Linked DNA regions of Arabidopsis thaliana. The protein of the gene in region 1 interacts with the protein of each later gene in a biochemical or structural test. Each region holds a gene or a part of one and is shown in the gene's direction. Other genes may lie near its edges.

Region 1 (4,952 bases):
TTTTTCTAAAAGTAATCAACGTCGTTGTGGTAGAATAGTTTCGGAATGAGATTGATTAATGTCGTTTTGTATCTTTTCAGAATTTGTTATGCAATACGACAATTTATTCATATCACCTTCTTTTAGATCTGTATCCAATTATAGAAATTGGATGATTTGATTCATCAAATTCAAAGAACCCTTAAGATACCACTATCTCCTTTTTAAAATGGATCAAGACCTCATTATCCACTACCACTCGTGGCAAAATGAAAACTATATAAAATCAACACAAAATGGAGGGAAACTAAAATTTACGCGCTAATGAGTAAAGTTGGTTAAAGCTTCTTTACTCTCAACATTTGGACCTGACGTCTTGTCGTCGTTATTTATGGGCTTGGTGATGTTTTATTGGGCTTAAATTTTGTACATTTTAGTGCAAATAAATATTTCGTTCTAAACAATAATAACGAATCGAAAAGCCCAAGACATGTTATACTCGAGAGCCAACAGTCAAGCTGATTTCAACGTATCTCGTCACGCCACGTAGTTGATTAACAGCCGAAGATCGCCGCTGATAAAGAACTAGATTGACGGCTGACGAGTTAATACGTCTGCTCTACTGTCAAATTCACAATTCAAAGCGAGGTAGAAAATTAGAGTCAGAGTCATAAGAGATTATGAGTAATCAAACGAACTTTCACCAAATTGCGTGTTTCCATTGTTGAGAATTTAGCAAATGAAAACACATTACAAAAGCGAAATAGCAAAAAAAGGAAATCAAATCTTGCTACATTTACTAAAATACCTACATTGAAATTCTCAAATCTAATTTCCAGAAACAGATCTCCAAACACAAATCTGAAAAACCCTGATTAACCGCCGAATCCGTAGAGAGTCCTTCCTTGCCTCTTGAGAGCGTAGACAACATCCATGGCGGTCACAGTCTTCCTCCTAGCGTGCTCGGTGTAAGTGACAGCATCACGAATTACGTTCTCGAGAAAGATCTTGAGGACGCCACGTGTCTCCTCGTAGATGAGACCACTAATACGCTTGACTCCACCTCTACGAGCCAATCTTCGAATGGCAGGCTTGGTGATTCCTTGGATGTTGTCTCTCAGAACCTTCCTGTGACGCTTGGCTCCTCCTTTACCCAAGCCTTTTCCTCCCTTTCCACGACCAGACATTTTCTCGAGAGAATTAGATTTCTTTTTTTCGCTACTGTGTGAAGAAGAATTGCTTTTGATTTTCAGATATTGACTGGACGTGTTTGTTTATATATAAGAGGGCTTTTGTTTTCAACCATCCGATTTAATAACCCATCTAACGGCTGTTAAGCTCAATCCTTGTCAATACTGATATGACATGATAGCCGTCGATTGATTTTAATCAACGGTTATTAATTGTGATCCGCATGATAACTACATAAGTGTTCTTCAGAGCTTCGCTTTGTAGTTACTAGTTTGCATGGGCTGGCTTACTTTTTAATGGGCCGGTTATGGATCGAAACCAAACTTCTCTTATTTTCGAATACGCAGGCGTTTCGGTAACTGCCTCATACGTCGTCGGTTGCATAGTAAAATAAATTTATTTCTTTTTCTTCTCTTTTTTTTTTTTTGGTCGTATTTATATTTCTTCTCCTAAAATCGGTGAAGTATCTAAAAACCCGTTATTTAATGCTTAAACCCTAATCGGAAAATCTCTCCGCCACTGTTCTCTCCGACTCACTAATGGGATTCTTCGATCTTAGCATTCCGTACAATGAGCCGCCACGATCAGGTGGTAAGGAAATCGCCGGCGGGAAAACCTTACGATTAAAGCTCGCCACGAAAGCCATGGAGCTAGGCTATGTTGGGATCGCACATAACCGTTCGATCAAAGGCGTAATGTCTGACAAAGACTCTTGTACGATCCCTCTTCTCACTCTTGGGTCTCTAATCAAAGTCGCTCCGCGGTTAGCTTCTTCTGTCGGATTCCATCGCGATTTACTCGGTGTTCCGCGAACTACTCCGTTTCGGCAGTACACGCGTCTCACAGTTCATGTGGAGAGTAATGCTCAGTGTCAGAGTTTGAATTCTGGGAATCCGATTCTAAAGAGTTATGATATTATTGCTGTTAGGCCGATGAATCAGAACGCTTTCGATTATGCCTGTGAGAAAGCTGAGGTTTGAATTTCTCTCTTTTTCTGTTAAAAATTCAATCTTTAGTTTTTGTAGCTCAATTGGAGTTTTTTTAGTTAGGATTTAACTCTTAGCTTGTTTGTTTTCATAGGTTGATCTTATTTCGATAGATTTTACGGACAAGATGTTATTCCGATTGAAGCATCCCATGGTTAAAGCTGCTATTCAGGTTTGTGATTTCACTGTTAGAAGAATCTGTGTGTATCTTATTCTTTTTATTTGCTTCACCTTAATGAATTTTCTTATCTGCAGCGAGGGATTTACTTTGAGATTAAGTACTCTGATATCCTTATGGATGCACAAACGAGGAGACAAGTTATATCAAATGCTAAGGTGAGATTCTGTGGAAAATTTTATTGTCAATTAGTTGATCATGTGAAAGTTTTATGAGAACTTGCTTATACTGTCTTGTGATATGGTGTATCTAGTTACTGGTGGATTGGACTAGGGGGAAGAATCTAATTATATCAAGTGGTGCTCCTTCAGTCACAGAACTTAGAGGTCCAAATGATGTCATAAATCTCATGTTCTTACTTGGACTCTCTGCTGAAAGAGCTAGAGCTGCCATTTCAAAAAATTGTAGGTATGTATCAAATTCGTCTAGCAATTGTGTTATTTGATGCTGCTAAGCGTCATTGAGAATGGATTTTAAATTGCTTTCAGGAATATGATAGCCAAGGTTTTAAAGAAAAAACGGTTTCACAAAGAAGCTGTCAGGGTTGAATTACTTTCTGCTGGTGATACTTTTAGCCTCGAACAGCCTCTGTCTGAAGATTGCATGAAATGGGATCGCCTTTCGAGCGGTGAAGGTGACATGCTTTTGGATGATCTTGCAAAGGCTTTTGATGCCACAAATGTTGTGGCGCACAAATCCTCGAAGGCGATTGATTTCACCTCTGTTCTTGATGGCTTGCCAAAACATGGTTTCCGGGTTAAGGATATTGTAGGAACTGAATCAGTGACTCAGCCTTCTGCAGCTAAGGTGATTGACACTCAGGTGCACAGTAGTAATCAAGTTTCTGAACTACGTATGGCCACAGCTTCATCTGATGATAACCTTCGGGAAATTGAAACCATAAGCCAAATTGACATGCTGATGTCTGAAGATGACAATAAGGTGGAACCTACTACAAATGTCCTCAAAGAAGAAGCATTTGCCCTAAGGAAATGCAGTGCCAGCCATGGCCAGGGGATTTTGGTGCAAAATCAGACGGCTACTCCCTTTACACTGACAAGATGTACAAAGTCAGAAGCAGCGTCGGATGTTAGCATGAATATTGAGTCGACTTCCGAAGGTGGATCAATGTCACCGTCAAAAAGCGATCATGGGATCCCACAAAGTCCTGTTGAAGTGAATAACATGGGAAATGCTGCTTTTGAAGAAGAAGCCTCAGTGGACGAAAACAGCAAAGAAAGAGCTACTACTGGTCATGCTAGTAATGATGAGATGCATATCACTGAGTCTGGACACCACGCATCCATTGATGATGAGAAGCATATCCCTGAGCCTGAACACCTCACATCCATTGCTGATGAGATGAAAATTGATTGTTCTTCGGAAGCAAATCACGACGAGTACATGGAGGTCACAATGGAAGACCAGATGCATGAAACAGGTGACAGTAAGATTATTCTTCCTAACTTATCCTCTGAGACTACCGATTTGCTAAGTGAATCAGGTAAATCTCTCAGTCCAGATGCGGTTGTGCAAGACCATGACGAAGCATCAAGACTAGAGTCCGATGAGACAAAGCTCGAGGAAGAGGCATCAGTTCCAAACCACAACACCTTTGAGATAACAATGGAAGACAATAAGGTCGAAGAGTTAACAATTGAAGACGAGAAGGTTGAAAAGACTGAAACCGAAGCTAGTCACCAAGCCCAAGTCCAATCCTCTGAAAATAACAATGACACAAAATCAGGTACGAGATCTAAGTTTCCTCATTTGCAAATCTAACCTAACACATAAGTTTGGAGTATAGATTTCAGTCTAATGTTATATCAATCCATAATGTAGGTAAGACGCAAGCTAAGAGGAGTAGAGTTCGTTTACCGCAACTAAGGCCTTTCAAGCCTTTTCTACTTCAATCAAGGTTCAAAAGGATCAGTAAAAAAAGAAAACATTGAAGAGCTTGATCATTCTTATAAGTACAAGTTTTGTCCATTAATTTATACCCACGCAAGTCTCGTGGTTTCATTTTTGAACCGATTATAAAATGGGGGAAAGAAAGAATCTAATTTATTCTCTAGAGTTGATTCTTTGTGTACTCGTGTTCAAGAAAAAGGCTTTTAGTTAAAATATTAAAAAGGAAAAAAAAAAGTTAAAAAGATTTAAGAGTGGAGGAGTCGGTAAATCTACCGCCGGCCGACAAAAGTCGGGGACAATGTCGCCGGAGGGCCTACATCTCCCTCCATAGCCATTGCTAAAGAAGAAAGACTGCTCTCTTTCCTTTTTCAAAACTACTTTATTTATAATCTAATTGAGAAGCATTATTCTTCACATTATTACTAATTACCTACTTGTGAGAAAAATTATTCTCTTATTACTAAAGATGCCTAACATTCAAATTATTTTCACTTTTAAATAAAAATAAATGATTTTTGTTACTGTTGGAAAATAATATAGTCTTACAATCAAAGTAACATTTTTTCTTGCAAAATATCAAAAGTGCTGAGAAACTTTTCCATAGCTTTTTTTTTTGGCAAAAATAATTGCTAGTATGTTTTCCTCTAGCTTTTTTTATATACTGACTTATGAGAATGAATGTATGGGTTGATTACTTTAAGTTAGTT
Region 2 (4,583 bases), on another chromosome or scaffold:
CTGGATAGGGAGATGAAAGCTCAGGATGCGAGGTTAAGAATGGCGGCTTTGGCTCAAGCAGCAGGACAAGCAAGGGCAGAAGAGTCTCAACAGTCTCATGCCGAGATGATGGCTCGTAACCCGTTGAGAGCTAATGCGATTGGGAATCATGGAGAACAGGGGCGTAACATGAACCCTAATGAGATGATGTTGCTGATGAATGGATGGGGGAACAATAACAACAACAATAATAGCCAGAAGGAAGAGAAGGAACCATTAGAAGATTTCTTGAATGATGAAGAAAATGAAAATGGTGAACATGAGAAGTGGCGAAGAAGTGGGGATTTTGATTTGAATATTCGGTAAATGAAACCATGACTCAGATTTTCTTTTGGTTTGGTTATCCAAATACTCGTAGTTTGGTGATGTAGTTAAATCTTGAAAGGTAGTGAATAAGGTGAAAGATAAATTGACGATGATGAAGTGTTCTTTGAGGTGGACTAGTTTTGGCGAGTGAGCATGACGCGCTTCAGTTTCGATTCTCTCATCTTATGAATTTTAAAAGAGGGATCCTAAATAAAAAGTAACAAATAATGTAAACCACAAAAGCAAAACAGGCCAATTTAGACACAAGTTACATCAAATGACTAAAAATGGAAAAGCATGCACCATGTGACTTCTAACACAACAACGAATATCATTTTCTTGTAGCTGCGATTGGGACCATACCTATATACAATCCCCACAACATTTTTCTATAATTTATTTTCTTATATTCCAAAAGGATCTTTTACGGTTTCCAAACGATACCACTATTCGAAAAAACCTTAATTATTATGCATGATGATGATGTGTGTATGTAAAACTGCTGAAAGATATATGCAATAAATTAATGAAAGTAACCTTATGTTGTGGACGTCTCGTAGGCTATGTCTTCCTCTACGTGGCACATGAGAAGTTGCTCATGTGTCCCCCTCAAATACTTGAGCTGTAGACTGTAGTTTTATCTCAGTGAAACAATACATAGCTAAAAACATATTTGTTTATCATTATGGTAAAAAAGAATTCACATCACCAGAATGTTAGAACTTGGTCAAGAAAAAAGAGAGTAATAGTTGAATCATATTTGTGTCTGATTATACTTTTCTTATGGACCAATAAAATAATTAGTTATCTAATGTTGTCTCAGTTTAATATGATCTCTAAAAACTGATTACTCTATGACATTAAACCTGCTGGTAACAAAAAATTGTTTGCTTTGAAAATTTGTATTTTTATCCAAACACTAACAACTTAGGATTCTTGCTTCATGATTATACACTTTCGACTGAGGAAAAGATTATATACTTTCTACCAAGATATGAGAAAATCAAATTTGTATAATTCAATATTTTCAGTTGTCATTAGAAAAGAGTTGATTATCAAATGTCAATTATTTAGTGAAAAAATAAACATTATCCAACATAAGGAAAAAAACTACACTTAAGTGCCATTATCTTAACACGCATTTGGTGCCGTTTGGGTTTAAGAACAACGAAGTCGTAAGCGAGAATATGACAATATTCAATGGCATTTAAGAACAATTAAGTCGTGATCGTCTATAAGACTATGACACTATCATTAAAAGACACTTTAATCACTTCACAACTTAAAAACATCTTACCAACAAATATGACGAAAGCACACTACAACCTAAAAGTTATAAAGTTCCATTGGTCAAAACTACTAAACAGATTTAGAAATCTCTACTAAACAGTTATAAAGAAAATTATCCATTACTACAAAAAAAAAGGAGTAAATTTCTTGGAGTTAGGAAAAAATGAAAGAGAGAAACAGATGCCAAACAATAGTGGCATGCTCTGATTCTTATCTCTTAAACACACTTCACAGTCACTTCTCTAATTGGACCTCTCTCTCACTCCCTCGTGCTTTATATATTGCTCCTCTCAGAATCTCCTTTCTTTCCACAAAAATTGTCTGTAACCAAATCACAACAAAGACCCACAAAATTCTTTTTTTTTTCTTTTTCAAATCCCATTAATAAAAACCTTACCAACCCATGAAGTAAAGTAAACTCCTTTCTTATAAACTCTCTTTTGTTCTTTTTTTTTCAACTTCATCAGTCTCTTAACTCACCATCACAAGAACAAGAAAGATGAAGAGAGGATACGGAGAAACATGGGATCCGCCACCAAAACCACTACCAGCTTCTCGTTCCGGAGAAGGTCCTTCAATGGCGGATAAGAAGAAGGCTGATGATGACAACAACAACAGCAACATGGATGATGAGCTTCTTGCTGTTCTTGGCTACAAGGTTCGATCTTCTGAGATGGCTGAAGTAGCACAGAAGCTTGAACAACTTGAGATGGTCTTGTCTAATGATGATGTTGGTTCTACTGTCTTAAACGACTCTGTTCATTATAACCCATCTGATCTCTCTAACTGGGTCGAGAGCATGCTTTCTGAGCTGAACAACCCGGCTTCTTCGGATCTTGACACGACCCGAAGTTGTGTGGATAGATCCGAATACGATCTCAGAGCAATTCCGGGTCTTTCTGCGTTTCCAAAGGAAGAGGAAGTCTTTGACGAGGAAGCTAGCAGCAAGAGGATCCGACTCGGATCGTGGTGCGAATCGTCGGACGAGTCAACTCGGTCCGTGGTGCTCGTTGACTCTCAGGAGACCGGAGTTAGACTTGTCCACGCACTAGTGGCGTGCGCTGAGGCGATTCACCAGGAGAATCTCAACTTAGCTGACGCGCTGGTGAAACGCGTGGGAACACTCGCGGGTTCTCAAGCTGGAGCTATGGGAAAAGTCGCTACGTATTTTGCTCAAGCCTTGGCTCGTCGTATTTACCGTGATTACACGGCGGAGACGGACGTTTGCGCGGCGGTGAACCCATCTTTCGAAGAGGTTTTGGAGATGCACTTTTACGAGTCTTGCCCTTACCTGAAGTTCGCTCATTTCACGGCGAACCAAGCGATTCTAGAAGCTGTTACGACGGCGCGTAGAGTTCACGTCATTGATTTAGGGCTTAATCAAGGGATGCAATGGCCTGCTTTAATGCAAGCTTTAGCTCTCCGACCCGGTGGACCTCCGTCGTTTCGTCTCACCGGAATCGGACCACCGCAGACGGAGAATTCAGATTCGCTTCAACAGTTAGGTTGGAAATTAGCTCAATTCGCTCAGAACATGGGCGTTGAATTCGAATTCAAAGGCTTAGCCGCTGAGAGTTTATCGGATCTTGAACCCGAAATGTTCGAAACCCGACCCGAATCTGAAACCTTAGTGGTTAATTCGGTATTTGAGCTCCACCGGTTATTAGCCCGATCCGGTTCAATCGAAAAGCTTCTCAATACGGTTAAAGCTATTAAACCGAGTATCGTAACGGTGGTTGAGCAAGAAGCGAACCACAACGGAATCGTCTTCCTCGATAGGTTCAACGAAGCGCTTCATTACTACTCGAGCTTGTTTGACTCGCTCGAAGACAGTTATAGTTTACCGAGTCAAGACCGAGTTATGTCAGAAGTGTACTTAGGGAGACAGATACTCAACGTTGTTGCGGCGGAAGGGTCCGATCGGGTCGAGCGGCACGAGACGGCTGCACAGTGGAGGATTCGGATGAAATCCGCTGGGTTTGACCCGATTCATCTCGGATCTAGCGCGTTTAAACAAGCGAGTATGCTTTTATCGCTTTACGCTACCGGAGATGGATACAGAGTTGAAGAAAATGACGGATGTTTAATGATAGGGTGGCAGACGCGACCACTCATCACAACCTCGGCGTGGAAACTCGCCTGAGTCGCGGCGGTAGAGATGACTCGCCTGAAACCGGGAAAAACAATAAATGTTTTAAAAAATTAGGAAAAGAGACCGTAACTTTAGTTATGTTTTTACTTTTTAACCCGAAGTTTTTGTGTGTTTAACCTTTTTGCCTAAATGTTTACAACTTTATCTTTTTGGACCTTGTGCGTATCTTTGAGAGTTAAGAGAACGAGTAAAAAATCTTGTATCGTAGATCGAGCTAAGTAGTTTTCAATAAATGGAAGGATAACGATTCTGTATGTTTTTTACTTGATCCAATATATATGAATTTATTTAAATGATTTTGTGTCATATATTTTTCAAATTTGGACAGTTTCGTTGATAACATGGGAAGTGAACGTGAGCGTTTCTGAAAAGGCGGATCCAAAATGTACTTTCAGTTTCGAGGACTGATGTCAGCCTTTGTTAAAAGATTTTCTTCGAAATATATTTTGGTACATTTTTGTTTTCGAAACAGATTGTTCTTTTCTCTCTCTTTATTATGGGTTTGATGAGGTAATATGGATGTCAAATTGATTTTGACGTACGTTATCAACTTTTAAAAATATGCGAGGTGAAATTATTCTACTTTTATGAGATCATAAGCCTCAAATTCAATGGTCTTCTACCTAAGAGTTGGTGGATCTAAATTTTGGGGGGTTTCAGTTTTGAAAACATATATGAAGTTATTCTTTCTGGAATTCAATCTAGACGTATAGTCAAGAAGGAAATTATAAAACGACATTAACGTAGGGATTTTGGTCGGATAGGTTCGGATTATATATAGAACACTCCAATGGCA
Region 3 (4,789 bases), about 18 Mb from region 1:
ATTCCTCAGGCTCATACCAACAACGTTTTTCACGTTCATAAATATTGTGGCCATCTTCTTAAGACCCAACATCCATAGATCCGGGTTGAATTTTGGGTCGCCAAAGAACGCGTCCGGGTCATCGTTGCTACAACACCACCCCGGTACGGTCTTGTGGTTGTCAAGTATCACCATCACATCATGCCTCCCAAGACTATACACCACAGCCTACACAAACATGTTGCCTTGCGTTAGAAGATATCATATAGTAAAAACAAGAAGCATGTGAAATATATTTTTTTCATTACAACGATGATCAGATCTGAAAAGAAATGGAAAAATAATCATTATTGCAATATAAGATAAAACATGTTTTAGTCATATTTTTCAGTCACAAATGACTTATTTAAAAACCATGGATTTTTAATTGAACATGAAAAGAATAGTTTTTGTTTGAGTTGAAGAAATTATGTAATACTAGAATCACATGATTAATTATGTATTTATACCTGAAAGACATTGATGAGAGGAGTATTGACAATGTATGGATTGTGAGTGTAAATCCCTTGAAGCTCATGATCCAATCCATATCTCTCAAATGATTGTTTCACGGTAACATTAAAGGCTAAAGTGTCATTAATCATTAATTCAAGTGGCCAAGTGAGCCTAACACAATTGAATCCCATGTCTTTTATCTTTTTCGATATTGAATCCATTGGCTGGCTGCTCAGCCCCTCTGCTACCACTGGCTTGAGGTGCGAAGGCCAGTTCGCGCAAGCTAGCTTCACGCGGTGGCCCTTGTTGTTTACGATCCATCGAGACTTTGTGAATAGTGGATAATCTGTTGCTAGGGTTAGAGATATTAATGACAAGAATAAGAACAAAAAGACAGTTAAAGCGATTGCTTTTGCCATGCTTATTTCGTTGTGACTGTGTTTTAGGAAGATCATTAAGTATATATAGAGAGTGAAATCAAGGGTTTTTGTCACAATGATAGGGGATTTGTTGAGTTTCTTTTGTAAGATAATTGACTAAATATTTCAGGGTTGGTTACTTAGTTTGATGATAGGTTTCAAAATGTAAATAAATGAGATATTTACGGAACATTGTGGATAAATATCTTCTTACCACACGTTTTGGATAGTGTAGTTTTTTTTATTGTTCGAATAATTAAGAGGATAATTAGTCAATGGATCATCCGCCTAAAATGTCGAGAAAGTAACTTGGGTAACATTTCAAAACGTATCCGGCCATTAAATAGTCTCGTCATTTATTTGTTTCCCTCAAAATTGCCAATATATCAACGAACGAAGGGTAATATACTAATATATTTAGCTTGTGTATTCATTCGCTAAGTCATATAAAATTACTCGAAACTTTATTTTATACAGGATTATACATTATTTTCACAAAACGGAAAATAATAAGCCATTTGTACTTAGACCAACAAACTAATTCAAGAGTGAAATCTATTTTTATGTTCAGTTCTACTCTATTATAAAAATCTTCTATATATGTAACTATCATGTTTAAAATGATGTTTTTGGTATGGGGAATAAAATTCAATTTACACACATAAAGAAATGAAAACATAATAATAATAAGAAAGCAACGTAATGTTGTAGACGTCTGATACCTAATGTCGACTGCCGCCACATGTCGACCGTGAGGTTGGTCACGTTGTCTCCCTAACTGCAATACTTTGAGCTGTACTTCTATCGGGACCTCTATTTTCTTCTCAAACTTTTTTAAAAATTAGTATTATTTTATACCATTTCGGCAAACAAATTATTAGGAGATAGTATCATTTAAAAAAATAAATATCAAATTTTGTCAGTAAAATTATTACAGTATGTCACGTTAACTAGTTAAAATTTTGTTATAGAAACAAGATACTTGAAGAAAACGGGCTGTTACTTTCGGAGTTTACAAGTTCCATTTCTCGAGAAGAACTATTTGGGTTATCAATATAGGTCATATGATATGACTAATATCTACTGCAGCACCCAATTTAATAATTCTAGAAACTCTAAATTCAACATTTAGTGGGTATTAAAAAATAGTTTAATAGACTATGACAGTCCATTGGACCATTAAACAAAAACTACACGCCCTTATCAGAGCGACGAATTTTTTGTAACTTGGATCAGAAATTCAATAAAGTTATAGTAATAAAAATGAAATAATTTGGAAAAGAAAGAATAGAGAAGAAAACACATGCGAAATTATAATGGCCTGCCTCTCTTCCTTCTTATCTCTTTTACTTACACTCTCCAGGTCCCTCACTTCCCTCATTGGACCTCTCTAACTCTCCTCTCTTACCTTCTCCTGTTTAAATTCTTCTCCTTTCTTTCCACAATTTCTGTCTAACCAATTCCAACACCAAAAAATTCCATTTCTTGACGATGAAACGAAGCCATCAAGAAACGTCTGTAGAAGAAGAAGCTCCTTCAATGGTGGAGAAGTTAGAAAATGGTTGTGGTGGTGGTGGAGACGATAACATGGACGAGTTTCTTGCTGTTTTGGGTTACAAGGTTCGATCTTCAGACATGGCAGATGTTGCACAGAAGCTTGAACAGCTTGAAATGGTCTTGTCCAATGATATTGCCTCTTCTAGTAATGCCTTCAATGACACCGTTCATTACAATCCTTCTGATCTCTCCGGTTGGGCTCAGAGCATGCTCTCGGATCTTAATTACTACCCGGATCTTGACCCGAACCGGATTTGCGATCTGAGACCAATCACAGACGACGATGAGTGTTGCAGTAGCAATAGTAACAGCAACAAGAGGATTCGACTCGGTCCTTGGTGTGACTCAGTGACCAGCGAGTCAACTCGTTCCGTGGTGCTTATCGAGGAGACAGGAGTTAGACTCGTTCAGGCGCTAGTGGCCTGCGCCGAGGCGGTTCAGCTGGAGAATCTGAGCCTCGCGGATGCTCTCGTCAAGCGCGTGGGATTACTCGCGGCTTCTCAAGCCGGAGCCATGGGGAAAGTCGCTACCTACTTCGCCGAAGCCCTAGCTCGTCGAATTTACCGGATTCATCCTTCCGCCGCCGCCATTGATCCTTCCTTCGAAGAGATTCTTCAGATGAACTTCTACGACTCGTGTCCCTACCTGAAATTCGCTCATTTCACGGCCAATCAGGCGATTCTAGAAGCTGTTACGACGTCGCGTGTCGTACACGTAATCGATCTAGGGCTTAATCAAGGTATGCAATGGCCGGCGTTAATGCAAGCCTTAGCTCTCCGACCCGGTGGTCCACCGTCGTTTCGTCTCACCGGCGTTGGGAATCCGTCGAATCGAGAAGGGATTCAAGAGTTAGGTTGGAAGCTAGCTCAGCTGGCTCAAGCCATCGGCGTCGAATTCAAATTCAATGGTCTAACGACGGAGAGGTTATCCGATTTAGAACCGGATATGTTCGAGACCCGAACCGAATCGGAGACTCTAGTGGTTAATTCGGTTTTCGAGCTTCACCCGGTTTTATCCCAACCCGGTTCGATCGAAAAGCTGTTAGCGACGGTTAAGGCGGTTAAACCGGGTCTCGTAACAGTGGTGGAACAAGAAGCGAACCATAACGGTGACGTTTTCTTAGACCGGTTTAACGAAGCGCTTCACTATTACTCGAGCTTGTTCGACTCGCTCGAAGATGGTGTTGTGATACCGAGTCAAGACCGAGTCATGTCGGAGGTTTACTTAGGGAGACAGATATTGAACTTGGTGGCGACGGAAGGAAGCGATAGGATCGAGCGACACGAGACGCTGGCTCAGTGGCGAAAACGTATGGGATCCGCCGGGTTTGACCCGGTTAACCTCGGATCAGACGCGTTTAAGCAAGCGAGTTTGCTATTGGCGTTATCTGGCGGTGGAGATGGATACAGAGTGGAGGAGAACGACGGAAGCCTAATGCTTGCGTGGCAAACGAAACCTCTAATCGCTGCATCGGCGTGGAAACTAGCGGCGGAGTTGCGGCGGTAGATACGTCGTCATAAAGAGGAGAAGAAAAAAGACTTAGCGAACGTGACCTTATGTTTTTATTTTACTTTAACTTACCCCAGTAGTTTCGTTTTGTGACAATTTCGCCCGAAATATTCCGTGCCTTATACTTTTGGGACCCAGTTGGTTCGTTGGTCGTGGAGATTCGAGAACGAGGAACATGTGTGTATGTAACAACAGCACGAGCAAGTGTTTTCATAGTTTGAATAAATATGAAAGAAATGACGTTTATTTTATTTTTTGTCAACGAATTGACGTTACGTTTAATTTCACCCAAAATATATACAAAATGACGCATGAATGAATTTGGACCGACTCGATTATTACATAGAGGCTAACGTTTCTGGGAGATGATGATGATGATAGAAGTAAAGAAGCTAAACCTCACTTGAGTCTTTTTATTCTGAAAAGCCGGAGTCCAAACTCTACTTTTGGGTTTTTTGAGAGGTTTTCATTGTCAGCTTTTGATCAAGTGGGTGAAACCGTTTTGCTTAGGAATGTGTAAAAGAAAACTTGATATTTACTACTAATTTTATCACCACTTTTGAAAAATACATGTATTCATAGAAAGATATGATAAAGTTGGACCACATTCTCATTCTCTAAACTCACTTTAAACATGGCAATGTTTAAATATCCTCAAGTCTTGGAACATCTTCAGACTTACCATTTCTTGATTTTACCCGTAACAACACTTCAATATCTGAGTAGTCAAGACTAAACAATCCGAACAATATCAGCTTTTGATTTTATATAAATATAACTATATAAGACTTCCTAACAAAGAGGAACATGAGTCCCACAGCCACAGCATG

What was found.
Region 2: the proteins of GAF1 (region 1) and RGL2 form a complex in vitro, tested with the Arabidopsis thaliana proteins (one study listed by BioGRID).
Region 3: the proteins of GAF1 (region 1) and RGL3 form a complex in vitro, tested with the Arabidopsis thaliana proteins (one study listed by BioGRID).

What each region holds. Positions count from the first base shown.
Region 1 is NC_003076.8:24,145,498-24,150,449, forward strand, and holds GAF1 (Polymerase/histidinol phosphatase-like protein), read left to right. Parts: upstream 1-1,601; 5' UTR 1,602-1,709; coding exon 1,710-2,144; intron 2,145-2,250; coding exon 2,251-2,328; intron 2,329-2,411; coding exon 2,412-2,492; intron 2,493-2,587; coding exon 2,588-2,742; intron 2,743-2,822; coding exon 2,823-4,081; intron 4,082-4,176; coding exon 4,177-4,286; 3' UTR 4,287-4,445; downstream 4,446-4,952. Other genes in the region: AT5G59970 (Histone superfamily protein), read right to left, coding at 855-1,166. UniProt on the Arabidopsis thaliana protein: Probable component of ribonuclease P, a ribonucleoprotein complex that generates mature tRNA molecules by cleaving their 5'-ends. May also be a component of the MRP ribonuclease complex, which cleaves pre-rRNA sequences.
Region 2 is NC_003074.8:818,831-823,413, reverse strand, and holds RGL2 (RGA-like 2), read left to right. Parts: upstream 1-1,761; 5' UTR 1,762-2,134; coding exon 2,135-3,778; 3' UTR 3,779-4,077; downstream 4,078-4,583. Other genes in the region: AT3G03460 (mediator of RNA polymerase II transcription subunit-like protein), read left to right, coding at 1-345.
Region 3 is NC_003076.8:5,763,483-5,768,271, reverse strand, and holds RGL3 (RGA-like protein 3), read left to right. Parts: upstream 1-2,025; 5' UTR 2,026-2,384; coding exon 2,385-3,956; 3' UTR 3,957-4,283; downstream 4,284-4,789. Other genes in the region: AT5G17500 (Glycosyl hydrolase superfamily protein), read right to left, coding at 1-207, 489-893. UniProt on the Arabidopsis thaliana protein: Probable transcriptional regulator that acts as a repressor of the gibberellin (GA) signaling pathway. No effect of the BOI proteins on its stability.